7 linked regions of the Macaca fascicularis genome follow. The protein of the gene in region 1 interacts with the protein of each later gene in a biochemical or structural test. Links are inferred from orthologs where the notes say so. Each region holds a gene or a part of one and is shown in the gene's direction. Other genes may lie near its edges. The genes, in order: RARA, TRIM24, NCOA6, PSMC5, MED1, TADA3 and NRIP1.

Evidence for each region.
Region 2: the proteins of RARA (region 1) and TRIM24 form a complex in vitro, tested with the Homo sapiens proteins (3 studies listed by BioGRID). The link is inferred for Macaca fascicularis from reciprocal best matches to the Homo sapiens genes RARA and TRIM24.
Region 3: the proteins of RARA (region 1) and NCOA6 form a complex in vitro, tested with the Homo sapiens proteins (3 studies listed by BioGRID). The link is inferred for Macaca fascicularis from reciprocal best matches to the Homo sapiens genes RARA and NCOA6.
Region 4: the proteins of RARA (region 1) and PSMC5 form a complex in vitro, tested with the Homo sapiens proteins (2 studies listed by BioGRID). The link is inferred for Macaca fascicularis from reciprocal best matches to the Homo sapiens genes RARA and PSMC5.
Region 5: the proteins of RARA (region 1) and MED1 are reported together in a solved structure, tested with the Homo sapiens proteins (2 studies listed by BioGRID, with this or other methods). The link is inferred for Macaca fascicularis from reciprocal best matches to the Homo sapiens genes RARA and MED1.
Region 6: the proteins of RARA (region 1) and TADA3 form a complex in vitro, tested with the Homo sapiens proteins (2 studies listed by BioGRID). The link is inferred for Macaca fascicularis from reciprocal best matches to the Homo sapiens genes RARA and TADA3.
Region 7: the proteins of RARA (region 1) and NRIP1 form a complex in vitro, tested with the Homo sapiens proteins (4 studies listed by BioGRID). The link is inferred for Macaca fascicularis from reciprocal best matches to the Homo sapiens genes RARA and NRIP1.

What each region holds. Positions count from the first base shown.
Region 1 is NC_088390.1:61,434,628-61,438,510, forward strand, and holds part of RARA (retinoic acid receptor alpha), read left to right. Parts: exon of another isoform or gene 1-203; intron 204-1,013; exon of another isoform or gene 1,014-1,132; intron 1,133-1,238; coding exon 1,239-1,387; intron 1,388-2,698; coding exon 2,699-2,840; intron 2,841-3,883. UniProt on the Homo sapiens protein: Receptor for retinoic acid. Retinoic acid receptors bind as heterodimers to their target response elements in response to their ligands, all-trans or 9-cis retinoic acid, and regulate gene expression in various biological processes.
Region 2 is NC_088377.1:180,256,375-180,260,257, forward strand, and holds part of TRIM24 (transcription intermediary factor 1-alpha), read left to right. Parts: intron 1-879; coding exon 880-1,012; intron 1,013-2,047; coding exon 2,048-2,122; intron 2,123-3,810; coding exon 3,811-3,883. UniProt on the Homo sapiens protein: Transcriptional coactivator that interacts with numerous nuclear receptors and coactivators and modulates the transcription of target genes.
Region 3 is NC_088384.1:90,870,921-90,875,238, reverse strand, and holds the start of NCOA6 (nuclear receptor coactivator 6), read left to right. Parts: upstream 1-1,376; 5' UTR 1,377-1,561; intron 1,562-4,318. UniProt on the Homo sapiens protein: Nuclear receptor coactivator that directly binds nuclear receptors and stimulates the transcriptional activities in a hormone-dependent fashion. Coactivates expression in an agonist- and AF2-dependent manner.
Region 4 is NC_088390.1:70,332,940-70,337,313, forward strand, and holds the start of PSMC5 (26S proteasome regulatory subunit 8), read left to right. Parts: upstream 1-1,464; 5' UTR 1,465-1,466; coding exon 1,467-1,519; exon of another isoform or gene 1,520-1,927; intron 1,928-2,122; coding exon 2,123-2,213; intron 2,214-3,523; coding exon 3,524-3,593; intron 3,594-3,883; coding exon 3,884-3,981; intron 3,982-4,168; coding exon 4,169-4,225; intron 4,226-4,307; coding exon 4,308-4,374. Other genes in the region: pre-rRNA 2'-O-ribose RNA methyltransferase FTSJ3, read right to left, coding at 69-148, 271-317, 581-686, 860-926.
Region 5 is NC_088390.1:60,453,082-60,456,964, reverse strand, and holds part of MED1 (mediator of RNA polymerase II transcription subunit 1), read left to right. Parts: intron 1-3,231; coding exon 3,232-3,883. UniProt on the Homo sapiens protein: Component of the Mediator complex, a coactivator involved in the regulated transcription of nearly all RNA polymerase II-dependent genes.
Region 6 is NC_088376.1:148,045,001-148,048,883, reverse strand, and holds part of TADA3 (transcriptional adapter 3), read left to right. Parts: exon of another isoform or gene 1-365; coding exon of another isoform or gene 366-389; intron 390-559; coding exon 560-669; intron 670-1,779; coding exon 1,780-1,965; intron 1,966-2,467; exon of another isoform or gene 2,468-2,667; coding exon of another isoform or gene 2,668-2,749; exon of another isoform or gene 2,750-3,407; coding exon of another isoform or gene 3,408-3,441; intron 3,442-3,883. UniProt on the Homo sapiens protein: Functions as a component of the PCAF complex. The PCAF complex is capable of efficiently acetylating histones in a nucleosomal context. The PCAF complex could be considered as the human version of the yeast SAGA complex.
Region 7 is NC_088377.1:32,171,352-32,175,854, forward strand, and holds the start of NRIP1 (nuclear receptor-interacting protein 1), read left to right. Parts: upstream 1-1,358; 5' UTR 1,359-1,539; intron 1,540-2,047; exon of another isoform or gene 2,048-2,115; intron 2,116-4,503. UniProt on the Homo sapiens protein: Modulates transcriptional activation by steroid receptors such as NR3C1, NR3C2 and ESR1. Also modulates transcriptional repression by nuclear hormone receptors.

The sequences.
Region 1 (3,883 bases):
ATGTGATTTGGGGCCATGTGACTCATGTCTGTAAGGTACCTGGGCCAGGCGCTGTGGGCACCTTTAAATGCCAGCCAGTTTCATGTGCTGGAGTTTGGGGTAGGGCTCAGTAGGACTGTGGAATATGGGAGGAGGCAGGGATCTGTCTACTTGGCGAGGCATCCTCATCCATCCTTGGCCCTGGACAAGTGGACTTGAACGTGGTAGGCCTCAGGACGATGCTGGGTGGCCCCTTGGGAATCTGGGATTGCCTCAGTCATAGTTCTTATCTTGCACCCAACACCCTTAGCTGCCCAGGCTTTGGACACAGATAGCCCCTGCCCAACCCAGCCCTGTTCTGCCTACAGTGATGGGTGGCATGGAGCCAGGCACTGGGGAGGATTTGGCCAGTGAGGGCTGCCCCTGCTGTCTGGGTCACCCCTCCTGGCTGCCCTCTTGGAGCTGAATAACAGAAGGGGAGGGGTACTAACCCGGACATGGTATTGAGGCCAGACAGACAGAGCATTGATGGGAACAGACCCCCTTTGTCATGCCGTCTCTCCCCAGATGGGGGGTACCCAGAATGATGGGATTCTGGGGCCCTGGGGACTCTTCTCCCTGTATTCAGGGTGTCTCCCTGCCTATCTCAGGGAGACACCTCCTGCTCTGCCCAGCATTTGTGACTCTTGTTTGCACCCCCTGCCTTGGGTCCCTGGCCCTGGGATTGTTTGGGTGGAGGAGGGGCTGTGGCTGCTGGCAGAATGGGGTGGAGGGGGGAGCGGAAGCAGAGGGGGCGGGGGAGTGGCCAGCTTTGAATATCCTGTTGACCCCAGTTTCCTCTGCCCCCGGCTTGTGTCCTCTTCCCTCCCTCCTCTTCAAGCCTTAACTCCTTCCTAACTCGGGGGAGAACGGGGCCAGGCCGCCCAGGGGCAAGAGCTTTAGAATCAGGGTGACCCCCACCCCTACTCCCCAAGCACAGTCACGGCACACATACAAATCTGATGGTTTATCATTGTCTCTTTGTGGTTTTGAAGGTGTGGGTCCTAGGAATCCGGAGGAGTGATGGGGCGCTGGAGGCTTCATTGGCAGCCTCCTTCCCTGAGTCTGGCTGGGGAGTCCCAGTTTTCTTAAGACTTGAATCCTGCCAGCAGTGGTGAGGCTGGGAGAGGCTCTTAGGAGGGACTGTGAGGCAGGGTGGAGCTTGGTACTAAGGATGGCGGCCTAGGTCTCTAACTGCCCCTCCCCTCTTCTCTCTCTAGCCATTGAGACCCAGAGCAGCAGTTCTGAAGAGATAGTGCCCAGCCCTCCCTCGCCGCCCCCTCTACCCCGCATCTACAAGCCTTGCTTTGTCTGTCAGGACAAGTCCTCAGGCTACCACTATGGGGTCAGCGCCTGTGAGGGCTGCAAGGTGAGTTGAAGGGGTCATTGGGAAGGACAGCTTGATGAGGTCAGTGGGATATCCCCACTTCCGTGTCCTGGGAGTGTGCAGTTGGGGTGGGGGGTGTCCCTGAAGTTGCTGCTGTTGTTTTTCTGTGGAAGTTGGCAATAAGCAGGGACACCTACCATAGGTCCTGCCCCATAAATGTGCAGGGCTCCCTCAAACCAGAGGTCCCCTCCTGCCTCAGCTCCTTTCCCTTTCTCCATCCTCCAGCTGGCAGGGCGTATGCCTGCTCTGCCACCGCTGCCCAGGTTGCCATGGTGAGCTGGCTGCCGACTGGCTCTTGGCTGGGGACCCAGGAGGCCTCCCTCGGCGGCCCTGCCTGAACCTCACCATGGCAGCCTGGCAGGAGGCAGTTAGGAGCAGGCACCGTGCCTTGGCTTCCCCTTCAGGTGCCCGGGCTGTGGGCTCCCCGGTGTCTGGCTGAATTTCCCCACCCTCACGTTAGGTGCCAGGGTGCAGGTGTACCCGGTCCTTAGCAGCCCTGTGCCCAGCTTCTCCTCCTTTCCCCGGGGCCTGAGCCTCTGTGTGCATTTCTTCCTCCAGATATTGGGGCTCAGAATCTGCACAGGTTTGGGCCTTGCAGCTCTGGGCTGCTCTTCAGCCTGGAGTAGCTATCCCCAGGTGTGGGACAGAGGTCAAGGGCAAAGCGCAAGGCCTCAGGCTGTGTGTCTGCCTGTCCTGTCTGGTTGTTCCTGGTCTCTTCTTCATCTGTCCGCCTGTCTCTCTGGTCACCCTGTATGTGGAGCCCCTGGCCAGCCTGGGTTTGTCTGTGATGGGCCGGCGCACGCCTGTCTCGGTGAACTCGCATCTTTCTGCCTTGCTCCTGAGTGCATGTGTGTGTTCGCCTCCATTTCTCTGGCCAGCCCGTGTATCTGACTCCTGGCCTCTTCGGGCTTGTCTTCTCTTCCTGTGTTCTGAGTTCAGGGCTGTGGGTTCCAGATTCCTGGCTGTTTCCCAGTTAGCCCCATGTCTTCCTCTTTCTGACTCACCAGCAGCCCTGAGGTCCTTTCCCTGGAAGGGAGGAGTCAGATGTGTGCTGTGGGTTGGGGGAAGACTCCTGCCCATCCTGCGGCGTTGAGGCGGGTACTGGGATTCTCCTGAGGAGGATCCTTTTAGGTGAATCATTCTCCCCAGCTTTTCTGGCCTGCTCAGGTAGGCGATGGGCAAAGGCTTGGGGGTAGCAGCTGGCCTGGCCCTCCTCCCCTAGACTGAGACTATAGCCAGGCACTGCTGCCACTGTGGGTGTGGACAACCTGACTCCCTCCCCTCCATACCCAGGGCTTCTTCCGCCGCAGCATCCAGAAGAACATGGTGTACACGTGTCACCGGGACAAGAACTGCATCATCAACAAGGTGACCCGGAACCGCTGCCAGTACTGCCGACTGCAGAAGTGCTTCGAAGTGGGCATGTCCAAGGAGTGTGAGTGCCATGGGGCAAGAGCCGAGTCCCGCCTGAGCTGGGGCCTCAGGTGCTCCTAAAGACCAAGGGAGCAGGGCTCTGTGGATGTGTGTGCACATGCATGAACACGCATGCCGTGGTGTGCGGGCTCACGGTTGAGGATGGTTTGTGTGTAGCCGCAAGGACCTGTTTGCGAGTCTGGCTGGCTGTGTGTGCATGGGCAGGTCTGTGCTCCAGGACCGTGTGTGTGTAACCGTTCCTGTTTCTGCGCGTCTGGCTGTGTGTGCATGGGCAGGTCTGTGCTCCAGGACCGTGTGTGTGTAACCGTTCCTGTTTCTGCGCGTCTGGCTGTGTGTGCATGGGCAGGTCTGTGCTCCAGGACCGTGTGTGTGTAACCGTTCCTGTTTCTGCACGTCTGGCTGTGTGTGCATGGGCAGGTCTGTGCTCCAGGACCGTGTGTGTGTAACTGTTCCTGTTTCTGCGCGTCTGGCTGTGTGTGCATGGGCAGGTCTGTGCTCCAGGACCGTGTGTGTGTAACCGTTCCTGTTTCTGCGCGTCTGGCTGTGTGTGCATGGGCAGGTCTGTGCTCCAGGACCGTGTGTGTGTAACCGTTCCTGTTTCTGCACGTCTGGCTGTGTGTGCATGGGCAGGTCTGTGCTCCAGGACCGTGTGTGTGTAACCGTTCCTGTTTCTGCGCGTCTGGCTGTGTGTGCATGGGCAGGTCTGTGCTCCAGGACCGTGTGTGTGTAACTGTTCCTGTTTCTGCGCGTCTGGCTGTGTGTGCTTTTGCGCATGTGTGCATGTGTGTTTGCTCCAGGATGGCTTTCTTCCAGGCCTTGCTTGGCTTTGGGGTGGGGCTCAGAGGCATAGTTAGTCCCTTCTGATTGTGAGTCTTAGGGGAGGGGCTTGAATTCTGAGGGGTGCTTGGCTGGACTTATGTGTGTACGGGGGGGTGGAGGGGCTGGCACAAGGATCCAGAAGCCATTGTCTAGTTAAGCCTGGGATCCAGAGTTGGAAGAAAGAATTGGGACTTCTCAGATCCCAGAGGAAACGGGGTTTCCACT
Region 2 (3,883 bases), on another chromosome or scaffold:
CGCTTATTCCTTGTGCTTCTTTCAAGAAATTAATCATTCAGCCTGAGCAACACAGGGAGACCCTGTCTCTACAAATTAAAAAATTAGCCAGGTGTGGTAGTGCATGCCTATAGTCCCAGCCACTCAGGTGGCTAAGGTGGGAGGATTGGTTGAGCCTGAGAGGTCAAGGCTGCAGTAAGCTGTGATTGCACCACTGCACTCCAGACTGGGCAACAGAGCAAGACCCTCTCCCTAGTCATTATAAAAAGAAAATAAATAATAGGCCCTTTAAATTATCACAAGGTGTCACCATAAGGAACAATGTCCTTAGGCATAACAGCTACCAGTTTATTATGTCTTTTTTCCAGGCATCAAACTGTATCATTTACAAGTATTTCAAGTAAATTCTCAAACCCTATGGGGATGATGATCATCATCCTGACCAAGATGGTTAAGAGCCATTGGGTTGATCTCTCAGTTCTTGGAAGGCTATACTTTTGAAAATTTAATTTTATAAACTTAGAGTAACAAGAACAGTACAAAGAGCTTTTCTGATTTCTGAATCCTTTGGAGGAAAAAAATTCAATTATGCCCTAGATATGTGAGCCCTAGATTAATGTGTTAATTTGTCTAGGTGGTTTTTTTTTGTTGTTGTTTTTTCATATATGTATCTCACACCTTCTTAACTAGATTTTGATGTTAGGCCCTTGCATTATATTTCTGCTGTTTCCTCTCAGCATGGTACAGTATACCTAGTGGTATGTGGTAAATGCTGAGTGATAAAATTCATGCCAAATAAACAATTCTGTATCATAGATGTCATGGAGGAGGTGGGAAAGGGAAATAGTGAAGAGAGGAAATGATGCATTAGAAATTCAAAAGTACATTGTCCCCCTACAGTGGAGAGTGGATTTGTACTTTCTGCCGAGACTTATCTAAACCAGAAGTTGAATATGATTGTGATGCTCCCAGTCACAACTCAGAAAAAAAGAAAACTGAAGGCCTTGTTAAATTAACACCTATAGATAAAAGGGTAAGTCTTTGAGCATTTCCAACCTAGCATGTTAGACAATTTTTTGGTAAGATGCATTATTGTACTGTGGTGCCTTTCATCAGAGAGGTGTATATCCATCCAGATTTTATACTGATCCTTTTTATTTAGGAGTTTTTTTTTTTTTTTTACAAAGGTATAACTTTCTTTAAATTTAAAAAAAAGTCACAGAATTTTGTGTGTTTTATAGAAGCTTATTGTACCTGAACAAGATGGAGTATGTAGCCTAGACTTTTAATCTACCTTAAGTAAATTTCTATTTTGTTTTATTTCTACCATAGATAAGTTTTTTCCTCAGAATTGCCACCAAGGAGCTGGGTTTTTTCTTTACTCTTCCTGGAAATAATTCTTTTTTTTTAACCGAATGGGACTAGACTTATGCATCAAAGCCAACTGATACATTTAACTGTAAATAACATTTACAGCTACCAAGTCAACACTTTGTTACCAAAAAAACGCCTTTGCTAAATTATTAAATAGAACAATCAATATGAAAGTTGTCATGCAAGAGGGGACGTGCCCATTCACTGCCAGTACTACTCAGTGGTTACTGGGATAAACCCATAGGCAGGGAAGTATGAATAGCAGAGCACATGGTTGGACCTTCTGCATGCAGAGAGGTGCCTTAGGTCTGTATGCGCATTGAGAAGGTCCACCTCCAGTTCTCCTGAGAGACATATGTTCTTCCTTTATGGAGTATTATTAATTTATAATACACAGACTGGAGCAATAAGTGCAAATTTATTGTTAGAAAACTTCAAATGGGTTTCTAGTGATTGTCAGTTCATTCAATTACAGGGCCTGCTCCCAAATATCATATATACCCTAAATTGTCAAGTAGTACAGTTCAGTTAATGATTCGGAAGGAGAACAAAACTCCAAGAATCAATAATTTTTTTGTATTTATCTGAGTTTAAATTTTTAGTCTGATACTTTGGAACCTCTGAGATTGTTATTTAAAATAAGCTGTGAATTCATTGTTTTATATTTTATCTGTTTTTATTTATTTTTGCTTAGAAGTGTGAACGCCTACTTTTATTTCTTTACTGCCACGAAATGAGCCTGGCTTTTCAAGACCCTGTTCCTCTAACTGTAAGTATTAATGTCATTTTGTGCATGTTTACACAGTGGAATGCTTTTCTGGAATTTTTATTTATGAGAATCTAGCTTATATACCATTTTCTAGTATTTTTTAATCTAAACCTTAAATCTTAATAATACATACTGAATGCTTTGATTCTATATAGGTACATTTTTAGTAAGTGGCCCAAAACTTGTGTTCATTTCTCAGGTATTCTTTCGTCTTTTCTCATCTATTTTACTTAGTACTGGGGTGTTTGGGGTGATTTCTGTTAATTGTCTGTATCTCAGGAGTTTTAGGCATGTTTCCAAAGCTGTTGGAAAAAAACTTTGTTTGAAATAAAGACATCTCTCCCTGCTAAATTTTCCATACTTATTTTTATTTATAGGTCCAGACTTCAAGTAAATAAGTAGACTTTACCAATACAAAAAAGTTGAGGTTCATATTGAAAGTTTGATGTGACTTTAATGCATAATTTTAGGGTGCTGGAAAGGGCCTGGTACCCCAAAAAAGTATTCTAATGTCTGAACCCAGGAGGCGGAGGTTGCAGTGAGCCGAGATCACGCCATTGCACTCCAGCCTGGGCAACAAGAGCAAAACTCTGTCTCCAAAAAAAAAAAAAAAAAAATTAATTTGTTCTACAGTTTGATAAATCTCAGATTAGTACAAAGTTAGAAGAGTATCAGCTTAGTAAATACATTCAGCTGATAAACAGCTTCTTTCTTAAGAACAGGTTTGGAGAACCTGATATAGGAAATAAATACTTCCAGGGAGAAGGCTCGTTTGTACCCAAAAGAGGCAGGGTATTGAATTGTGCTTTCTGTTATCCTGGCTTAGAGTTACGTTATTAATATCAACAGCACTGACAAAGTAGCCCCCTTTTTCTTAATAAATACCATCTCATTTAGTCTGTACAAAATGTTGTGAGCTTGGCAGGATTATTCCTATCTGGAATATGAAGAAACTGAGGTTAAGTAACTTACCCAGGACTGTGATACTGAGCAGCAGAGCTGGGGATTAAACCCAGATTCGAAGTCCTTCTTCCTCTTTACCACATGTTATATAAATACATGCAGCAAAAACATGTCAGATTCTACTAGAAATGATATTATTTCTAGTAATTGCTTTTTGTTTAATAATGAAAGAAAATCTAGGTGATTTAAGAGAGAATATGTGAAGACAAGTTTTTTCATTAAAAATAATTGGGACTGGGTGCAGTCGCTCATGCCTGTAATCCCAGCACTTTGGGAGGCAGATTGCTTGAACCCAGGAGTTTGAGACCAGCCTGGGCAACATGGCAAAACCCCATCTCTATAAAAAATACAAAAATTAGCCAGCTATGTTAGCACATGCCTGTAGCCCCAGCTACACGAGAAGCTGAGGTGAGAGGATCACTTAAGCCCAGGAGGCAAAGTGCAGTGAGCCGAGATTGTGTCACTGCACTCCAGCCTGGGTGACAGAGCAAGACCCTGTCTCAAAAACAATAATTGGTTAAACTTCTTGGAAAAAGTAACACAAACCTTTACCAGTATGTATGTGGAAGGCAGTGAACACTGTTAAATGGGTTTCTTTACTAATGACAGATAGCACAGAGAAAAGCAATGAGAACATTCTGAATTTTAGAGCACATCTCATAGACTATATTTAGGACAAGGTAGAATTTAGCTATTTATATTATAACATCTCATTTTTTTTAAAGGTGCCTGATTATTACAAAATAATTAAAAATCCAATGGATTTGTCAACCATCAAGAAAAGACTACAAGAAGATT
Region 3 (4,318 bases), on another chromosome or scaffold:
CCCCATCTCTACTTAAAAAATATACAAAAATTAGCTGGGTGTGGCGGCAGGCGCCTGTAGTTCCAGCTACTCAGGAGCCTGAGGCAGGAGAATCCCTTGAAACAGGGAGGCGGAGGTTACAGTGAGCCGAGATCGCGCCACTGCACTTCAGCCTGGGCGACATAGTGAGACTGTCTCAAAAAAAAAAAAAAACACAAAAACCACACACACACAATTTAGCTGTACATTTTAAAATAACTAGAGTGTAATTGGGTTGTTTGTAACACAAAGGATAAATGCTTGAGGTGCTAGATACCCCATTTACCATGATGTGATTATTACATGATGTATGCCTGTATCAAAATCTCATGTACCCCATAAATATATTCACCTACTACGTACTTACAAAAATTTAAAAAATACATCAGTGTAGTGTGGGAAAAAAGAAAACAAAAACAAAAATTTTTTTTTTTTTTTGAGACGTGGTCTCGCTCTGTCGCCCAGGCTGGAGTGCAGTGGCTGGATCTCAGCTCACTGCAAGCTCCGCCTCCCGGGTTTACGCCATTCTCCTGCCACAGCCTCCCGAGTAGCTGGGACTACAGGCGCCCGCCACCACGCCCGGCTAGTTTTTTGTATTTTTTAGTAGAGACGGGGTTTCACCGTGTTAGCCAGGATGGTCCCGATCTCCTGACCTCGTGATCCGCCCGTCTCGGCCTCCCAAAGTGCTGGGATTACAGGCTTGAGCCACCGCGCCCGGCCCAAAAAATTTAAAAAAAAGAGTGAAAGCCAGATATGAATCCAGGCCTGTATGACAGACGTCAAGGCCAGTGCTGAGGAGGCCTTTCTACATTTGGGAAGTGGGGAGGGGCCACACTCGTTCGATCAATAATTCTATTTCCTGAGCATTTTAGCTTGCTAGGGAGGTAATGATGGGAAAAAGAAGAGAGGGATTTAGAGGCAAATAATAGTGAAAGCTTTTATCTATATCCCATTAAGCTTATTATTAGACACTATGTGTCAGGCACGGTGACAAGTGCCTTCCATGCCTACCTCCATTTCCTCCTCACAAGAACTATGATTTTCCCCATATTTCAGATGGGTAAACTGAGGTTTGGAGTTGCCATTTCCAAGGATACTCAGTGCGCTCGCAAAAGGCTGTTCGGTGTGTGTTTCCCCAGCGGGACTCACTGGCGAGAGAATAGCACTGGGAAGCCGACAGAAACCCACGAGATCCCAGCATTAAGCTCACAGCACCCAAGCGAGCTGGCGCGCACTCCACCTCGCGCTCCCGGGGACGTCTGGTCACGTGGGCAATGCCCCGCCCCTCGAGTCCGCCCCGCCCCCTCTGGCGCTCCCTCCCTCTTTCCCTCCCTCCCCCTCCCTCCCCGGCCCGGTCCGGCCCATCCCCCTCCCCGCCGGCTCGGTGAGGCCCTGCCGGGTCGGGCTGCGGGCGGCCGGGCGCGGGTGGCCGGACAGACGGGCGCACGCGAGGACTGACGGACGGACGCACGGAGGGCGGCGGGCACGCACGGCCGGGGCTGGCGCTCCAAGGCCCGCCCGGGAGGGCTGGGGCCGCGCTCAGGTGAGACGACGGCGGCGCGGGCCCGTAAGGGGTGGGCCCGCCGGGTGTCCGCGGTCCTTGTCGGGCTGGCTTCGCGGGGAGGAGGCGCCGCCCGGGCCCGGCGCGGGAAAATGGCGCCGGGCGACCGAGTGGCACGGTCTGAGTGCGGGCCCGGCCCGGAGCCGCCCCGCCCGCCGCGCTTATGTCCCCGTCGCCATGTTGGGGAGCGGGCCCCAGGCCTGCGGGCGGGGGCGCTGGAGGGAGCGGCGGCCCGGCGGGGTGGGGAGGGTGCTGGGCGCTGGGGCCGGCGCACTGAGGGAGTGCAGGGCTGGCCGGGGTCTGCACGGGGTGGCGCTCCAGGCCCGGGGAACAGGCGGGAGCCAGTAGTGGGGTCGTGGTCAGGGTCGTGGAGAAGGAACACTGGATCCGAAAGGAACCAGGATTGGGGTCCATGGGCTGAGAGGATGGCAGGACGTGGAACTGGGTTAGGCCTTAGGCGGGCTTAGGGCACTAGTGCAGGTAGAACCTGGTGATTGGGGTGGAGGCATGGGGGCCAAGCTTAGGCTGTCAGGGCTGGAGCAGTTCTTTGCGGGGAGGGAAGGAGGTGATGGATGAGGAATGAGGGCCCTTTGGGTACAGACGCTGGTATCAGATTGGGGCAGTCCTTGGGGTACTGGGGCTGATTTGCAAAGCTGTATAACTCCCAAGGCTCTGAAGACTTACGTTCCAAGCATCCTCCACCCCCTATTGGGGGAAGCAACAGGAAAAAGGAGGTGTTTGATGAGAGAAAAGGGGGACAAAAGGGGACTGAGGTTTGGGTGCAGGAGCTGACCGGCAAAAGAGGCACAGAGAGTGGAACTGGTTGGCAAGAAAGGAAAGAACCTTTATCAACTTAGGGAATTGTGTGTGTCTTTAAAAGGAGGGACCCGGCTGTTTGGGGGCGGTGACCCAAGGTGTCTTCCCTGGAAGGGGACAGCCCACAGCTTAAGAGCAGGGTCACCTGGAGAGGTCATCCGAAAGGCGTTATTGAAGCCAGTAAAATGGTGAAGAAGAGTGAATGTATAAAAACTACAAAGGCCTGAGAGATCAAGTAAAGATTTCAAATCAGGTAGTGATTTTAGCTGAAACAGAAAGGTAAAGTTGACTTTTCAAGATCTTACAAGTTAGTAGCAGAGGGTCTACTGGAAATGGTCAGCTGCCTGCTCACTAAACACATTGCCTTAAAGGAGTTTGCTAGCTGGGAGAAAGGTGTTAAGAAATGAACCATAACATTCTTGTGATGAAACTAAAAGCAAACAAACAAAAACAATAAGAAGTGAAGCGTAACAGTATATACCAGATAACTATTAAATTTGTTTTGTTCCTTTAATGACTTTGGCAATACAAAGGCTGAAGGGAATACAAAAGAGGGTAGGCAGCCAGTTTTTTGGTATTTCCTGGCTCATCTCTAATTGTGCAAAGTTGTTGTCTTTGAGACCTTCTAACTTTGTAGAGTTTTAAGAGATGCTCCGGCCAGCCATAGTGGCTCATGCCTGTAATCCCAGCACTTTGGGAGGCCAAGGCGGGAGGATTGCTTGAGCCCAGGAGCTGGGAGACCCCATCTCTACAAAAAAATAAAAAAAATTAGCCACCTGATGTGGCTTGTACTTTTAGTCCCAGCCACTCAGGAGGCTGAGGTGGAAGGATCGCTTGAGCCTGGGAGGCCAAGGCTGCAATGAGCCGTGCTGTGATCGTTCCATGATATTCCAGCCTGGATTACAGAGTAAGACACTGTCTAAAAAAAAAAAAAGAAAAAAGAAATACTTCTTCTCTTCTAGGTGTTTACCACAAAGGGACACAAAATCCTAAAAAAGAAAAGTGAAAAATTGTAAAGACCCAGAGTGTCTATTTTGTTAATTGAAGTTGGATCATGTTAGAGAAAAATTCAAAGTTCGCGTGGGCTATGGGAGAGTTCTGAAGGAAATATGCAAACTAGTCATGGAAAATAGGTCCAGGGCCCCATATAATCAAAGAGAATTAATGAACAGAAAGGTTATGAGGGCAAATATAAAATAAGATTGTCAATACCATATGTATATACTGCAACACAATTCATTTGTTCTGGGTTTTTCTTTTCTTTTTTTTTTTTAATTTGTGGAGATGGGATTTCAACATGTTGCTCAGGCTGGTCTTGAGCTCCTTAGCTCAAGTGATCTGCCCACCTCGGCCTCCCAAAATGCTGGGATTACAGGCGTGAGCCACCTGGGTTTTTCTAATGAAGGAAGACCTGACCTTATCTGTGCCATGGACCCCTTTCAGAATAATATTTTTTAGTTGTATAAAATAAAGTACATTGAATTATAAGGAACACCAATTATATGGAAATATAGTTTCCAACATATACAAATCTAATATTCATATACTTGTTTTTTTTTTTTTTTTTTTGAGACGGAGTCTCGCTCTGTCACCCAGGCTGGAGTGCGGTGGCCGGATCTCTGCTCACTGCAAGCTCCGCCTCCCGGGTTTACGCCATTCTCCTGGCTCAGCCTCCGGAGTAGCTGGGACTACAGGCGCCCGCCACCTCGCCCGGCTAGTTTTTTGTACTTTTTAGTAGAGACGGTGTTTCACCGTGTTAGCCAGGATGGTCTCGATCTCCTGACCTCGTGATCCGCTCGTCTCGGCCTCCCAAAGTGCTGGGATTACAGGCTTGAGCCACCGCGCCCGGCCTCATATACTTGTTTATCAGCACATTAAGAAATCAGATTTAGTGATGGATCTGATAATTACAATTTCAAAGAC
Region 4 (4,374 bases), about 8.9 Mb from region 1:
CTTTAGAGGATTTCAGGGATGTGGATGTTTCCGTATAAAGGGGGAAGGAAGAGAAAGACTCCTATTACCTGCCTACAACGTTCTGTTGTGATGTCCTCCTGGAGAGTCACCACATTGGGGAGAGGCTTGATTGGAACCAGGTCCACTCCTGGAATAAATCAGGTCAGAGTATTCTAAAGGGTTGCCTCAAGCAGGGAGGAGAGAAATACAGGACAAAGTACTTTATACACCGACCCCTTAAAACATCAAGGAGAGCTGTCCGTTACTCACCCACAATAAGGCTGGATACAGGCATAAACTTGGCAGCTACCTGCAGCCTATAAAAGGAATAGGAATTTAAAAACCTACAGCCATCCTTGTCCCCCTCTTGGCAACTGACCTCTCATCCCTGGTGTTACGTGCACTGGCCAGAACATATCATAGGCACGTATTCCAAGTCCTTTCTCTGCAGTCAAGAAAGGAAACGGCCTCCAAGGGGACCGGGATTCGGGATTCCTCTCCCGCAATGAAACTGGAAACCATCGCAGCTCAGAACACAGAAAGCGGCCACCAGGAGCAACCTGTGGCAAGTGTTACGAACCATCCCCCTGGCGCAGCACACAGGTCCAGCAAGGCTCGGGCTTTCTGCAGGAACTGAAAGCGGCGATTGAGCTGGATCAGCTTGAAAGCAGATCGGGAACGGTAACCTGGACAAAACAACCAAGTGCGCAGAGGGCTTCACCATCACCAGCAGGATTTCTCCAGCCTCGCAACCCACTACCCCTTCTGCAGGAGAGGTACACAATGGTCAGAAAGAGCAGGCGAACCGGGCAGAGATCGCTCGCTCGCTCGCACGCAGACTGAGCGAATCTGGACTCACCCGTCTCCTTCGCCAAGTGATAAAACTTGTCCCGTCGGCTCTTGCCAACTTTGCCCTTCTTGCCCATGGTGGAATGGGGGAGTATCGCTCAATCTGGGGAGAAAGTAGAAGTTGAGGACGTCTCTTTCCGGATCACCAGATTCCTCTTTCAGTTTCCCACTTCCCGCAGCAATTCCACTCCGCTCCCCTCTCCGCACACTCTACCTAGACCCACGGCCGCTTTCTCCACACTCGGAACCGCACATGTATGCAGCAAACGTACTTCCGCTTCCGCTTGCGTCCCTGGCTCGAGGTTTTCCGCCATTTTGAGTGTGGCCATAGATTGTTCTCGGTACTCTGTCCTCGGATTTTGTAAGTTGAAAGTTGAGACTAGGAAGGCACATTACAAGAACTACAAACATAGTTTCAATGAGGCAACATTGAGGAGTTCTGCTCCTTCCTCTTCCCCCTCCAAAGCCCCTGAACTCTCGTAGCCGCCCCTCCCATCATGGTCCCCTTAGTTAGTGTGGTCTGGCCGCGCACCCCGCCCATTGACCCGGAACTCTTCTCTGCCTGGTCTTCAGGTCACAAGCCTCCGCTTCCGCGCCTGCGCGCAAAGGGGACTCGGATGCCGGCGGTCTCTGCTGAAGAGAGAAGATGGCGCTTGACGGGCCAGAGCAGGTATGGCGGCTGCAGTGGCGGCCCGGCAGGTTACGGGGCTGGGTGCGGAGCGAGCGTAATCTAAGTGGAGAGCGGGCCGGGGCAGGAGGGTTGGGTGGGTCGGAGGTGGCTGGAGTAGTCCAGGCTGGACGCTGCCTGCGACTGGATCTGCTGTGTCAGCGCCGCCCTCGGTGAGTCAGGGCAAGGCTGGGAGAGGAATACGCGGTAGAAGCGGAGTGAGTGAGGGGAGCGATGGGCGCGGGAACGGCCGGCCCACGGGTCGCAGGAGACGGGACGCCAGTCCTTCGGCTCCGTTCCGCTTGCTCCGTCGGCAGTAACGACACCTCGGGCTTGTAGAGCGCTTCACGCAGTGCAAAGCGCCCCCGTGTATATCATATCGCCTCTCGGTCCTCCTAAAAGTCGTACAAGGTAGGCGGCGTTCCCATTTTTTTATTTTAGTCGTGGGAAAATGGAGGGTTCCCAGGGAGGGAGGGATTAGAACCCAGATGCTGAGCCTCCGAAGTCCAAACTTTTTTTACTACGCAAAGCTACCTGGTGTCAAACCTTATTCAAAGTGCCCTGCAAGTGGCTTTATCCCCTCGGATGTTTAACCTGTCGTTTAAGACTCACTCTGTGTCTTCAGATGGAACTGGAGGAGGGGAAGGCAGGCAGCGGACTCCGCCAATATTATCTGTCCAAGATTGAAGAACTCCAGGTGAGGACGGACTTCAGAGAGAGCTAGGAAGCGGGATGATGGGGGATGGAAACGGACTTCCACAAATCCATCTAATTCCACTGGGAGTGCAGTGGAAGAAGCTGCTGCTTCTCCTTTCTTGTTTGTTTCTTAGCTAGTAGGGTGTGTGTATCAGAAGTAAGCAATCTCTTGTTCTCCTCCAGTCCCACCCCTTTGAGGGTCATAGTGTTCACAGTTTGTTAAACATTTTCAAGAGTCAAATCTTAACAGAAAAGGTACCTCTAGCCAAAGGTCAGCCCTTTTGGAAGAAGCCCGAATGAAAAGGATTCTTATGAAAGGGAAACAAGCTCAGGAGATGAAATTTATCACCAAGAGGTTGGGTGAGGGTGAAGTGAGAATGTGAGGAAAGGCATCATTGAGGCATCTGGATAATGCTAATTCCATAGAGACTGAATGAAAGAAATTGGGCAACCCAGAACGCTAGCCTAAAGCGCTAAACCATAGAAAAAGGACCGTTTATGTTGTTAATGAAATGTTTATGTTTACCAGTAAGGCTTCCAGCAGTAAGGTGTGACTCTCAGTAGTAGGTATGGCTTCCAGTAGTAAACATTACCAACAACATAAACAGTAGGCTGTTAGTGTTAACAGTGTTATGTTACAGTAGGCTGTTAGTAGTTTAACTTTGGACAAGTCCATGTATTTTCAATTTCGTCCTAATCCCCTGCGTTGTTCAAGTGTCATCTGTAATATAAATTGGATGGGGGAAAGCCACAAAGAACAATTCTGAATTCCAAGTGCATTTGCAGGTATTATGTTTAGTTAACCATTTTGGAATGCTTTTTCATGTGTTTTTATTCGTTCACTTCAGTAGTCCTGAAAAGGAGCAGGGCAGCTGATGCTATACCCATGTGCCATTTGGTAACAGATCTAGATTTTTTAAAATAGATTGCCTGAGCTTTACCTTGCTTTTGATTGACAGCAGCTGGGCTAGAACTCAGACTTCTCACCTAACACTCTTTCCACTAGGTGATGTTGCCTTCCTGTGAGAAATTTGGTGTTACATGAGCCAGCTGTAACTTTTCTCCATTAGATTCTGTTATTCCTGGACCAGAATTGGACAAGCAGCCTTCTTTGATGGCTGCCATAAGCTCCAGAGGGACTCTTGGAGGACAGGGCAGGGTCATTAGAATCATACTGGAGAATCTGAAACAACACACAGGTGCCCTGTGCCCTTCCCTCAGCTCATTCTGACCTGTGAGGTCTTGGCCAAGATCCTACCTCCTCCTGTCTCCTGCCCTTGAGTAATGGAATTTGTCTCTTGTCTGCCACAGCTGATTGTGAATGATAAGAGCCAAAACCTCCGGAGGCTGCAGGCACAGAGGAATGAACTAAATGCTAAAGGTGAGTGGGGAAAGATGGGAAGCCGCATGTGGGCAGTTTGTCTGAGGTCTGTCCTAACCTCCCTGCACAGTGTCTTCACAGCAGTGCTTACTGTTTTCTCCCTGTCATCTAGTAGTTTCACATGCATCTCTTTTTCCCGAGCTCCATTGTAGCCTCCTTAAATACATGAATTTTTATCTTTGGTCTTCCTTTAATAACTTAAGAATGATGCTTAGCTCATGCATGTAGAATTGGGTCCTGGAAACTCCAAAGGAGTAGCTAGGTGACCACTGTGTCTGTTTGCCATCTAGTTCGCCTATTGCGGGAGGAGCTACAGCTGCTGCAGGAACAGGGCTCCTATGTGGGGGAAGTAGTCCGGGCCATGGATAAGAAGAAAGTGTTGGTCAAGGTAAAAGCAGCATGACCCCAGGGACCAACCAGCTCAGTCTGCACTGGATTCCCACCCCTTTGTGTGTAGCCTTGGGAGACAGGGTTCTGTGTTCTGTCAAGGTATTGTGGGATTCTCGAAGGTCTTCCTGGGTAGGGTTAGTGATTTGGTGGCTGTCAAGGAAGATCATGAGCTCTTCTTTCTTTAGGTACATCCTGAAGGCAAATTTGTTGTAGACGTGGACAAAAACATTGACATCAATGACGTGAGTGTAGCAGGTGAGGTGGTGGTGGGGTCAGCTCTTATTTCTTATTGTACCACTTCTGAAACTCACCCCCTTCACCCAGGTGACACCCAATTGCCGGGTGGCTCTAAGGAATGACAGCTACACTCTGCACAAGATCCTGCCCAACA
Region 5 (3,883 bases), about 980 kb from region 1:
GTGTGGCGGCTCACGCCTGTAATCCAGCACTTTGGGAGGCCAAGGTGGGCAGATTACTTGAGGTCAGGACTTCCAGACCAGCCTGGCCAACATGTTGCAATGTCATCTCTATCAAAGTACAAAAATTAACCAGGCATGGTGGTATCTGTCTGTCATTCTAGCTACTTGGGAGGCTGAGGCAGGAGAATCACTTGAACCTGGGAGTCGGAGGTTGCAGTGAGCCGAGATCGCACCACTGTTCTTTAGCCTGGGTGATGGAGTGAGACTCTTTCTCAAAACAAACAAACAAACAGACAAACAAACAAACAGAGGTTGTGGTGAGCTGAGATCGCGCCACTGTTCTTTAGCCTGGGTGATGGAGTGAGATTCTGTCTCAAGACAAACAAACTAAATAAATAAATAAAAATACAAAAATTAGCCAGGTGTGGTGGCAGGTGCTTATAATCCAAGCTACTCAGGAGGCTGAGGCAGGAGAATTGCTTGAACCTGGGAGGCAGAGGCTATAGTGAGCTGAGATTGTGCCACTCCACCCCAGCCTGGTAGACAGAGCAAGATGCCATCTCAAATAAAAAGCCAACTTAATTGTTGCATGAAAGATAGTTAAGCCAGTATGCATCCCAGAACCATTAATAAGTAATTTTGTGAGATTTTTCTACAGCTAGGTCTGGCAGCCTATTTTTGTAAATAAATTTTATTGGAACACTGCTGTTCATTTACATGTCTGTGGCAGATTTCTAGGTAATATTGCAGAGTAGGTGAACAGGAAACGTGACGTACAAAGCCTAACATATTACTACATGACCTTATAAGAAAAATTTGTGGCCGGGTGTGGGGGCTCACCCCTGTAATTCCAGCACTTTGGGAGGCCAAGGTGGGTAAATCATGAGGTCAGGAGTTAAAAACCAGTCTGGCCAAGATGGTGAAACCCCATCTCTACTGAAAATACAAAAATTAGCTGGGCGTGGTGGCAGGCTCCTGTAATCCCAGCTACTTGGGAGGCTGAGGTAGAGAATTGCTTGAACCTGGGAGGCAGAAGTTGCTGTAAGCCAAGATCGTGCCACTGCACTCCATCCTGGGCAACAGAGCGAGACTCCATCTCAAAAAAAAAACAAAGAAAAATTTGCTGGCTGGGTGTGGTGGCTCACGCCTATAATCCCAGCACTTTGGGAGGTGGGCGGATCACCTGAGGTCAAGAGTTCGAGACCAGCCTGACTGACATGGAGAAACCCTGTCTCTACTAAAAATACAGAATTAGCTGGGCGTGATGGTCCATGGCTGTAATCCCAGCTACTCGAGAGGCTGAGGCAGGAGAATCACTTGAAACTGGGAGGCAGAGGTTGCCGTGAGCCGAGATCGTGCCATTGCACTCCAGCCTGGGCAACAAGAGCAAAACTCCGTCTCAAAAAAAAAAAAAAGAAAAAAAATTTGCTGACATATGTTCTAGAGCAAAACATTTGCAAACTGAGGTTTATGAATATAAATTTATCTGGAAAATAAGTGCTTTGCTTTAAAATAAGATTTATAACAAATAGCACTTTTTATAACAGGTGTAGGTTTGGGATCTAAGTCAGTAAGGTTTAGAAATTGATAGGTCAAGAGATTTTTCTTTTTTTTTTTTTTTGAGACAGAGTCTCATACTGTCACCTGGGCTGGAGTGTAGTAGTGTGATCTCGGCTCACTGCAACCTCTGCTTCCTGGGTTCAAGCAATTCTCCTGCCTCAGCCTCTCAAGTAGTTGGGATTACAGGCACCCACCACCACGCCCAGCTAATTTTTTTTGTGTTTTTTTTTTTTTAATTAGAGATGGGGTTTCACTATGTTGGCCAGGCTGGTCTCAAACTCCCCACCTTGTGATCTGCCTGCTGCGGCCTCCCAAAGTGCTGGGATTACAGGCGTGAGCCACTCTGACCAGCCAAGATTTTTCTAATGGTTCCTTAATTAAAATAAATTATGTATCCTTGTAATTGCCATATGAAGCCCCCAAGGAAGACATTTTCTTTGAGATGGAGTCTTGCCCTGTCACCCAGGCTGGAGTGCAATGGGACGATCTTGGCTCACTACGACCTCTGCCTCCTGGGTTTCAGTGATTCTCCTGTCTCCCTTTCCTGAGTAGCTGGGATTACAGCCGTACACCGCCACGGCTGGCTAATTTTTTGTATTTTTAGTAGAGACACGGTTTCACCATGTTGGCCAGGCTGGTCTCAAACTCCTGACTCCCAAGTGATCCACCCGCCTCGACCTCCCAAAGTGCTGGGATTACAGGAGTGAGCCATCACGCCTGACCTAAGGAGGCTTTTTTTTTTTTTTTTTTTTTGTTGTTGAGACAGAGTCTTGCTCTGTCACCAAGCTGGAGTGCAGTGGCATGATCTTGGCTCAATGCAACCTCCGCCTCCCTAGTTCAAGCAATTCTCCTGCCTCAGCCTCCCAAGTAGCTGAGATTACAGGCCACGTGCCACCACACCCAGCTAATTTTTGTATTTTTAGTAGAGATGGGGTTTCATTGGCCGGGCGCGGTGGCTCAAGCCTGTAATCCCAGCACTTTGGGAGGCCGAGACGGGCGGATCACGAGGTCAGGAGATCGAGACCATCCTGGCTAACACGGTGAAACCCCGTCTCTACTAAAAATACAAAAAACTAGCCGGGCGAGGTGGCGGGCGCCTGTAGTCCCAGCTACTCCGGAGGCTGAGGCAGGAGAATGGCCTAAACCCGGGAGGCGGAGCTTGCAGTGAGCTGAGATCCGGCCACTGCACTCCAGCCCGGGCTACAGAGCAAGACTCCGTCTCAAAAAAAAAAAAAAAAAAAAAAAAAGAGATGGGGTTTCACCATGTTGGCCAGGATGGTGTCGATCTCCTGACCTCATGTTCCAGCTGCCTCAGCCTGCCAAAGTGCTGGAATACAGGCGTGAGCCATTGCGACTGGCCCCTAAGGAGGCATTTTCTGAGTTCCATTATTACCAATTTTCTTTTAGTTCAGTTTGAAATTCAATTATTTGGACTCTTGTTTATAGTTTGCTTTTGTTGTGTGATTCATAAGAGACTGACAATTTTATGTTGGGTTAGATTTTTATAATGTATTTACCCAAAGCTCTGGTATTTGATAGAACTATTTTTGCCTTATACGATTTGCCCTACCTGGAAACTGCTTACTGCAGAACTCTGATGGTTTATCTAAATCTCAGGTCTCATTCAGCAGCTATTGAAATATTAACTTTGTTTTCTTCCTTATCTTGCAGATGTATGTCCATCCCTGTGACGATGAGGGCTATTCGGAGGAAAGCTGAAACCATTCAGGCCGACACCCCAGCACTGTCCCTCATTGCAGAGACAGTTGAAGACATGGTGAAAAAGAACCTGCCCCCGGCTAGCAGCCCAGGGTATGGCATGACCACAGGCAACAACCCAATGAGTGGTACCACTACACCAACCAACACCTTTCCGGGGGGTCCCATTACCACCTTGTTTAATATGAGCATGAGCATCAAAGATCGGCATGAGTCGGTGGGCCATGGGGAGGACTTCAGCAAGGTGTCTCAGAACCCAATTCTTACCAGTTTGTTGCAAATCACAGGGAACGGGGGGTCTACCATTGGCTCGAGTCCGACCCCTCCTCATCACACGCCGCCACCTGTCTCTTCGATGGCCGGCAACACCAAGAACCACCCGATGCTCATGAACCTTCTTAAAGATAATCCTGCCCAGGATTTCTCAACCCTTTATGGAAGCAGCCCTTTAGAAAGGCAGAACTCCTCTTCCGGCTCACCCCGGATGGAAATATGCTCGGGGAGCAACAAGACCAAGAAAAAGAAGTCATCAAGATTACCACCCGAGAAACCAAAGCACCAGACTGAAGATGACTTTCAGAGGGAGCTATTTTCAATGGATGTT
Region 6 (3,883 bases), on another chromosome or scaffold:
GGTCACTCTGGGCATAATTGTCACTCCAGTCCCACAGAATAAGAGCAAGGAGGAGTGTGTGAAGGAAACTCTTTGGGCCATGCCTAGCTGTGGCTCTTATTTCTTCTGATCGCTTTCCCCTGGAGAGAATCTGTCACATGACCATACCTGCCTGCAAGGGAGCCTGAGAAATGTAGTGCAGCTGGAGAGGCATTGCCTAGCTGCCATGGAGGACAGGAGAGTGGCGTTCGGACAGCTAGCACCTCTGCCACAGCAGGCCTAGCACAGTGCCTGGTGCGTTGCAGGCACTTCACAAACCTTGGCTGTTCATTACCATCATTGAGTGTTAATCATTTCTCTTCTGTGTTCCTTTTGTTCCTTTTTCTTCATATCAGTACAAAAATGGATTTCTAGAATGATCAAAGCAATTTGGGATCAGTATGGGAAGGCTTCCCAGAGTAGGTGGGATGGGAAAGATAAAAGGATATTTCTGGTGTTTGAAGACTGTCAGTGTAGGTCAGAAAGGAGCAGGAAAGTGGAACAGCTCTTTTTCCTTCCACCCATTTCTGTGGTCTTCTAGGAAAATATTATTTCCCCTATGGAGGATTCTCCTATTCCTGACATGTCTGGGAAAGAATCAGGGGCTGACGGGGCAAGCACCTCCCCTCGCAATCAGAATAAGCCCTTCAGGTGAGTGGTGTCCTATCCACAACCCACAGTCTGGCGCCCACTTCTGTTGGCTTCTCTCCATCTCAACCTGGGGAGTTCCTCATCAATAAGAGGCTGGGGACAGTTAGGTGAAGCCCAATAGCAGTCTCAAGTGTGAGTGCTGGCCCAATGTGTCTGCATGCACAGACTGAGTGCAGGGTTGTTCAGCACAGAACTGTTCATACCATAAATAAACCAAATGTCCTGCTGAAGGGGAGTGGTTGGCTAAATTGGCATAACTCCATATGATGAAATAACTTGCAACTATTAATCATATAGCTGCAAGTATAGAGAAATATAGGTAAATGACATGAAAAGATATAAATTATAGAGTGCCAAGTGGGGAAAATGTTAATTGTAGGCCAGTACAGATACATATTTTTATAATCTTATTTTTACTTAAAATGTATTTCTTTTTCTTTTTTTTTTTTTTTTTGCGACAGAGTCTCACTCTTGTCATTTAGGTTGGAGTGCAATGGCGCAATCTTGGCTCACTGCAACCTCCGCCTCCCAGATTCAAGCAATTCTCCTGCCTCAGCCTCCAAGTAGCTGGGATTACAGGCGCCTGCCACCATGCCAGGCTAATTTTTGTATTTTTAGTAGAGACGGGGTTTCACCATGTTGGCCAAGCTGGTCTTGAACTCCTGACCTCAGGTGATCCTCCCACCTCGGCCTTCCAAAGTGCTGGGATTACAGACATGAGCCACCATGCCTGGCCTACTTAAAATATATTTAAATACATGCACATAGGGGAAAAAACCTGGACTAATATGTAGTAAAAGATTGGGAATAATATATAACAAAATCTGGAATATATATATAATAACATATAATAAAATAATAATGATTCTCTCTGGGTTGTTGGCATTACAGGTTTTTCCATATTTTTTGGATAGTGGATACATATGTTGCTTGTATTTAAAAACCAGACCAGATGTGTCTGTCCTTCCCTTTGTATCTGGATAGATACAGAGGGGGTGCCCAAAGGGAAAGGCAGGTTTTCACTGAGCTTGGGAAGCCCTGGGAACCTCCAAGGTGGGCCCTCCTCCAAGCTGGCTCTTGAGTCTGACAGGGGCCTGCCTCCCCCTGCAGTGTGCCGCATACTAAGTCCCTGGAGAGCCGCATCAAGGAGGAGCTAATTGCCCAGGGCCTTTTGGAGTCTGAGGACCGCCCAGCAGAGGACTCTGAGGATGAGGTCCTTGCTGAGCTGCGCAAACGGCAGGCGGAGCTGAAGGCACTTAGTGCCCACAACCGCACCAAGAAGCACGACCTGCTGAGGTGAGTGTGAGCAGGATGCACAGTCCCGCGGGTGGCCTTGGAGGCTGTGGCCACAGCTGGTCACCTTCCAGGGGTTTTACAACAGGCTTTCCAGCCTGGCTGGTCTCTAAATCACCTGGAGAGCCTCGAAACAGCAGTGGCCAGTCCACCGGGTATGTGTCAAACAAATTCTAATTCCACAGAGTGGGGCTCAGGCACCTGTGACTGATTGATCGATTGATTTGATTTGGTTTGATTTTTTAATTGTGATAGAGGCATAATGTAAAATGTATGCCCATGGGAGGCTGAGGCAGGAGAAACGCTTGAAGCTGGGAGGCAGAGGTTGCAGTGAGCCAAGACTGAACCATTGCACTCCAGCCTGGGCAACAAAAGTGAAACTGCGTCTCAAAAAAAAAGAAAAGAAAAAAAATTTACCCTTCTTAACCATTTTTAAGTGTGCAGTTTAGTAGTGTTACCCATATGCACATTGTTGTGTGATTTATTTTTTGTCTTTTCATGCTGCTTTTCTTTTTATCCCCAAAGTTTTTTTATTAAAAATTTCATACATGCAGAAAATCTGAATCATACAATAAACATCAGCATATTCTCCACCTAGACTAATTAACTATTAACATTTTGTTAGAGATCTGTGATTTTTATTTGCTTATCACAAGAAATTGACCAGTGTTTTAGACATGTTCTTTTGGGAATCCATCACAGTGCCTACCATTCATTTGATGTCAACTCCCATCCATCTTGTTCTGCATTGATCACAACAAAGGTATAGGTGACATCTGGAGGAAGACTGTGGAATAGCTACCCTTTAGTTAAAGAGATAGGGAAGCAACCCAAACAAGTCTCTGCTTCTCATAGGCAAGTGCTGTGTCTTAACTTCATAGAGCCCTGACAGGACAGGACATACACATTCATTTGGCCTTTTTTGTTGTTGTTGAGACAATGTCTCACTCTGTTGCCCAGGCAGTGGGTGCAGTGGCACGATCTCGGCTCACTGCAACCTCTGCCTCCCAGGTTCAGGCAATTCTCCTGCCTCAGCCTCCTGAGTAGCTGGGATTACAGGCATGTGCCACCACCATGCCCAGCTAATCATTTGGCCATTCTTATTGTCTCTTAGACATTGTGCTAGGGACCAGCAAGAGAGGCACAGCAAGAGACTTGCAGATTACTAGCAGATGATCAGTAAAGACGAGTGCCATTAAAAGGAGAGGTAGTTGCTGACAAGCTGCCAGGATATTTAAGGATAAGGGTGACTAATGTATGCTGCGTGCCTACTGTGTGTCAGGGGCTTTATGTACACTCTCAAGTGTCTTGACAACAACCCAGGAGGGAAGTGCTGTTTTCCTTGTTTACCAGATGAGGAAATAAAGGCCCAGCGAAGCGAAGTGCTCTGCTGAAGGTCACACACTCAATAAACAGCCAAGCTGAGACTTGAGCCCATGGCTGAATCAAAGCCTCTTTCTGTAATAGTTCATGTTTTCTCTGAAAGGTGAGAAGAAGAAAACACAGATGGAAGGGGCACTGAGGGAAGGAGAGGGAGAGAGGAAGAGAGAGAAAAGCAGGCATGTGCGGTTACGGAAGTAATGGGCCTTAGCTGGGCCTGGTGGCTCATGCCTATAATCCCAGCACTTTGGGAAGCTGAGGTGGGAGGCTTGTTTGAGCTCAGGAGTTTGAGACTAGCCTGGGCAATGTAGTGAGACCCCCATCTCTACTAAAAATTTAGAATCAGCCAGGCATGGTGGCACATGCCTATAGTGCTACTCAGGAGGCTGACGTGGGAGGATCACTTGATCCTGGGAGGTGGAGGCTGCAGTGAGCTTGATCAGGCCACTGTACTCCAGCCAGGGTGACAGAGTGAGACCTGTCTCAAAAAAAAAAAAAAAAAAAAAAAAAGAAGTAATGGGCAATGAAGAAATGGCTTGCA
Region 7 (4,503 bases), on another chromosome or scaffold:
CAGTAAGCAAAACAGATTGTCAGTTAGTGAAGGGGGAGAGAGAGAAATTACAAAAGGCAGAGATAATCATTAAGTCATGGCATCCTACAGTCCTTTGGTGTAGCGACTGATAGCGTTTGGACCTCCTGGGAGAATCCCTAACACCTAGGAAGAATATAGAATAGGAACTGGATATATTTCCTGAATCCACTACAACCTACTACAACAATTACTTTTAATAAAATTGACACTGAATTGTCAAGAAAATGCTAAATGATGTTCAATAAACCGCTTAAGAGAAACATTTGCAATACATTGTAGAAAAATCTTTGTATTATGGTTAAAAATAATTTTCGTAAAAAAAGTTTGACCCCCACTAAGGGGCCAAGCTCCAATTACGCTGGTCATCATTGAAACGGTTTGCTTTGTATCAATTCTGAATAAATGATGCACTAAAAAACAGCAGCCTTTACTAATTTGCCTACAGCAGATTTTGAATTGTGGTATATGCAAATAATATGGTATTATATGAGGTTTAACTTTTTAAAATGGCAACAGATTGCATAGTTCAATCAGTAGGGTGATGTAAAATAATTGTTTTTAAAAGTGCCATTGTCACTAAGGAAAACATCGGTACCATGTGCCCGGCACTGTGCTAGGTGCTGAATTTATTAAGCATTAATTTGAAAAATTGCTTTCACTTTCAAGACTGTGACAGTATTCTAAAACTCTCATTCATATTTTTAAAGGTTAAGTGAAATTTGCAGTACACAATACAGCCATTACATAACAGGCATAGAATACAGTTTCATGACTTGGATAGTTGTTGTTTTTTAAGCGCATTAGCAACTCCATTTTCAAATGCTATCAAATTCTTCAGGATATAAAAACCTACATGTAAGAATGGAGTGCCTCATCGGCTCATTTGTCTTATGTAATAAGTGTTTTAACACAGTCATGCCATTTCAGAATTTCGGGTGAGACTAAGCTATACTTTAGCTTTTTTGTGTCAAGCAAAAACAATTTCAGCAACAACATTGGTTTCCCCTGGTAATTTTTTTCATGGCGAATTACTAAATGCTGGATGCTCAAGTCAAAAAGAAACCTGACATCTGGGGAGGTGTTGAGGGGGTGTTAATAGTTCTAGGGAGATGTTTGGGGAGCGCTGAGGATACGATTTTTAAAACAGCAAATACACGGATAAGGGGAAATTATGGTTTCGTATGACTCTCTCCTCCCTCCACTTTCTCGTTTCAGCAGTCTGTAGCCCCCCCAATTTAGAGGCGGGTTCAGCGAGATTAGGCTGCAGGAAACCAAGAGGCTCCACCGCGCTGCCGCCCCGGCCTCGTGATGTAATTGTTATTTCTTATTCGGAGACTGAACCGAGGAGAGCTGCTGAAGAAGTAGCAGCTCTGCTCCTTTTGCCTTGTCTGGTTCCCGGGGATGATGTAGATTGGCTGACAGACTCCGCTGGAGACTTCGCAGTGACAAAGCAGCCGAGGATTAACCCTGCTCCTGGGTCCTACGTCTGTCCAGGGAGCTGAGCGGGGCGCTCCTCAGGTCTCCTTCCTAGTTTTCCTCCCGGAGTCGCTCCACATGAGGGCTGGGTGCCTACTACGTGCTGGGCGTGGGGTCAAAGTGACCCAGAGTTCGCGCCCGCGCCCCCCACGATTAAAGCAGGACACACAGATTACAAGGAGATAGAAATTGGGTGGGGGGTGAAAGGGGGCCCAGGGAGCGCGTGTTGTGGGGTGAAGGGGAGGAGGTAGACTTTTAAGGCGCCAGCACCCAGGCGGGGACCCTGGGGCGTCTGGGGTGCCCCGGTCCCCAGGCTCTGCCCAAACGGGAGCATTCGGCCTGGGTCCCGAGAGCGCTTCCCCGGGTTCCCAGGAGGAGCTGTCCAGGCGCCTGCAGCGGTCGCGGGCGGCTGGACAGAGCTGGGAGCCCGGAGGACGGCCAGGGCGCGCCGAGCAGCCCCTCTCTTGGGGACGCGGTCCTTTCGCTGCCTCCGGGCCCTGCAGCCCCGTCTGAGCCACCCGGAAAGCAGGCGAGGAGGAAATCCACGAACCATAGGGGGCTCCGCAGCTACCGCGAGCGGCCCGGACCCGCACGGCTTCCTCCTGACCGGCTGACAATGGGAGGGAGGGGGAGAAAAGGGTTAAGAAACTTGGCTGAAGAGCTGAATGGCGTGGGGCGGCGAGGGGAGGGACTGGGCCGCGGCGGACTCGGCGGCGGAGGGAGGAGCGCGGCTGCGGGCGGGCGGGCGGCGAGCGAGGCGCTCAAAGTCAGCCTCGCAGACATTGCAGCAGAGCCCCGAACTCGGGAGGCGGCGGCGGAGGAGGCGGCGGCGAGGCGCAGGGACGATCCGGCCCCACGCCCGCCCGCCACCCGCGCGCGCCCGTCCGCCCGTGGCCTCGCGTCCGCCGCTGCGCCGGGAGCGCCGCTGGTCGGAGGGAAGAGCTCGCCGGGGTGCCGGGCCAGGACGGGGCGGCAGGCGCCTTCGCGGACCGAGCCTGACGGAGCCGGAGGCTGGGAGCCGCGGCGGCCTGGGGTGAGTGACGGCCGCGGCCAGGGCGCCCAGAGTAGCGGCCGCCGGCGCCGCCGGAAACGGCCCCGGAGCGCGGCCCGCGTCGGCGCTGGCTTGGCGGGCAGGGCCGCGGGGGCGTCGGGGCGGCGGGGGCAGCGCGGCCGGCCGCGGGCGCGCACGGGGCGGCGTGGAGGGCGCGTTTCCGGGGAAATCCTGCCTCTGCTGCCTGGTTCGAGTCTCCCCGGGTTCTCGCGGGGGGCCGGGGCGGCGGGCCGGCAAGTTGTGGAGTGGCCCCGGGTCGGCCCGCCCGTCCGTGCCAGTTCTGGGCAAGGGGGCGGCCGTCGCGTGGCCCCTGCGCGGGGTCGGACACTGGAGCTCGGGGGCCGGGTCGGGGTTGCCCCTCGCTCGCCTGCCCTCTTGGTCGCGAACCTCGGGCACCGCTCGCTGCGCCGCTCTCGATCCTGCTGTCCAGCCGGATCCTGGGCGGCGCCTTTCGCCTGGGTGCCTGCCTGCTCCGTGCTTGCTGGATACCCGGCTGGGAAAGTGAATAGGAAAACGGACAGCTCGCCCGGCCCCCAACGGACCCCAGGCCCGCTCTGCCCGCACTCGCCGTCCCCCCCGGATGGCGTGGCTCACGGACCCGAGGCCTCAGCCATCATTTTACCAGGAGCCAGGGGCCGGCCCCCATTTAGGGTGAGCCCCGTGGAAGTCCGGGAGGCTGCCCTTTCTCCCTTCTGCTGTCCCCACCTTACTACTATTGCATATTGTTTTATGAAGGTTTTCGTGGACGTATTCTGCAGACCCTCACATCCCTTCCAAAGTAGTTTCCCAATTTTAATCAGGAGTTGGTGTTCAGTCTGAAGGAACAAAGGAACCAACTGTGTCTTAGAGGCGGACAGGCTGGGAGTCTGTGACACATGTTGATCTCTGAAGCATTCCAGGAGTTTCTACCTTTTATCACGTCAGTAATTGGCTGCTGAAGGTAGTAAAAGAAGTACGGAATGATAAGCACTTTTGCTTTTTAAAAATATTTTTTAATGGCACATTTTACTTTGGGGGAAAGAAGACGTTCTTAGGCACAAGGATTTTTAAAAACTCGGCCGGTGGAACTGAGGTGGAGTTTGTCTCTGGTATTGTAAATGATTACATGTGGGATTGTGAAGGAAATTGTGTCGTTAGAGGAAGAGAAGCCATCTGTAGGTGTCCGTAGTAAAAAATGGTTGTCGGATTATAGGTGATCAATGCTCTTTCTGTTTCTTGGGAAAATTTGTGAAGCAAGGGGCTTCGGTAATTCATTCTTTAAAGTTATGAATTGCATTGAATGCTTATTAGTGAATCATAGGTTTAGTAAGTGGGTGGCATTATTCAATGTTTAATCATCAGTTTTCCACCTTTGTGGAAGAGATAGTGAGATAATAGACTTTTTAAACAAATGGTGTTTCATCTGCTTAGCCCGTAAGTGTCGGTTGCCGCCTGGTGTATGTTGAAATGTTTTCACCTTCGAAGTAAGTGAATTGCTCTGCTTTTGCCCAGCAGTTTGGTAATGTCGATAGGGTTTATTTGGTTCAGGGGAGCGCTGGCTTCATCGCCTATAGTAACTTTTTTTCTGCCTGGGCATAGTTCCTAGAGACAAAGAAGGAGAATCAATTAGTGGAACAGCTACTGCCCTGCAGGTTACAGGATTGGTTGCTCTAGTCTGTGTCATACTCTAGTGGAGAAAGACCTCTTTCCAAACTTACCCTGGGAAGTGCCCTAGGAGTGTGAGCAAAATACACATCCAAAAAAAAAAAAAAAAAAAAAAAGGACTGTTCGTTGTTGATTTTATTCAAATGAGTTAGGTGAAAAAGGCAGGTTTAATGCCTGTGGGAAGTTAGTTGAAAACCAGGTTTAATGCCTGTTTTACATGCATTTGCAAACTCTGTAGAACTTGGATTTTGCTAATTTTAACAGCCTAAAATGTTGTTAACTTTGCACTAAAGAAATGTGTGAAGAGACTA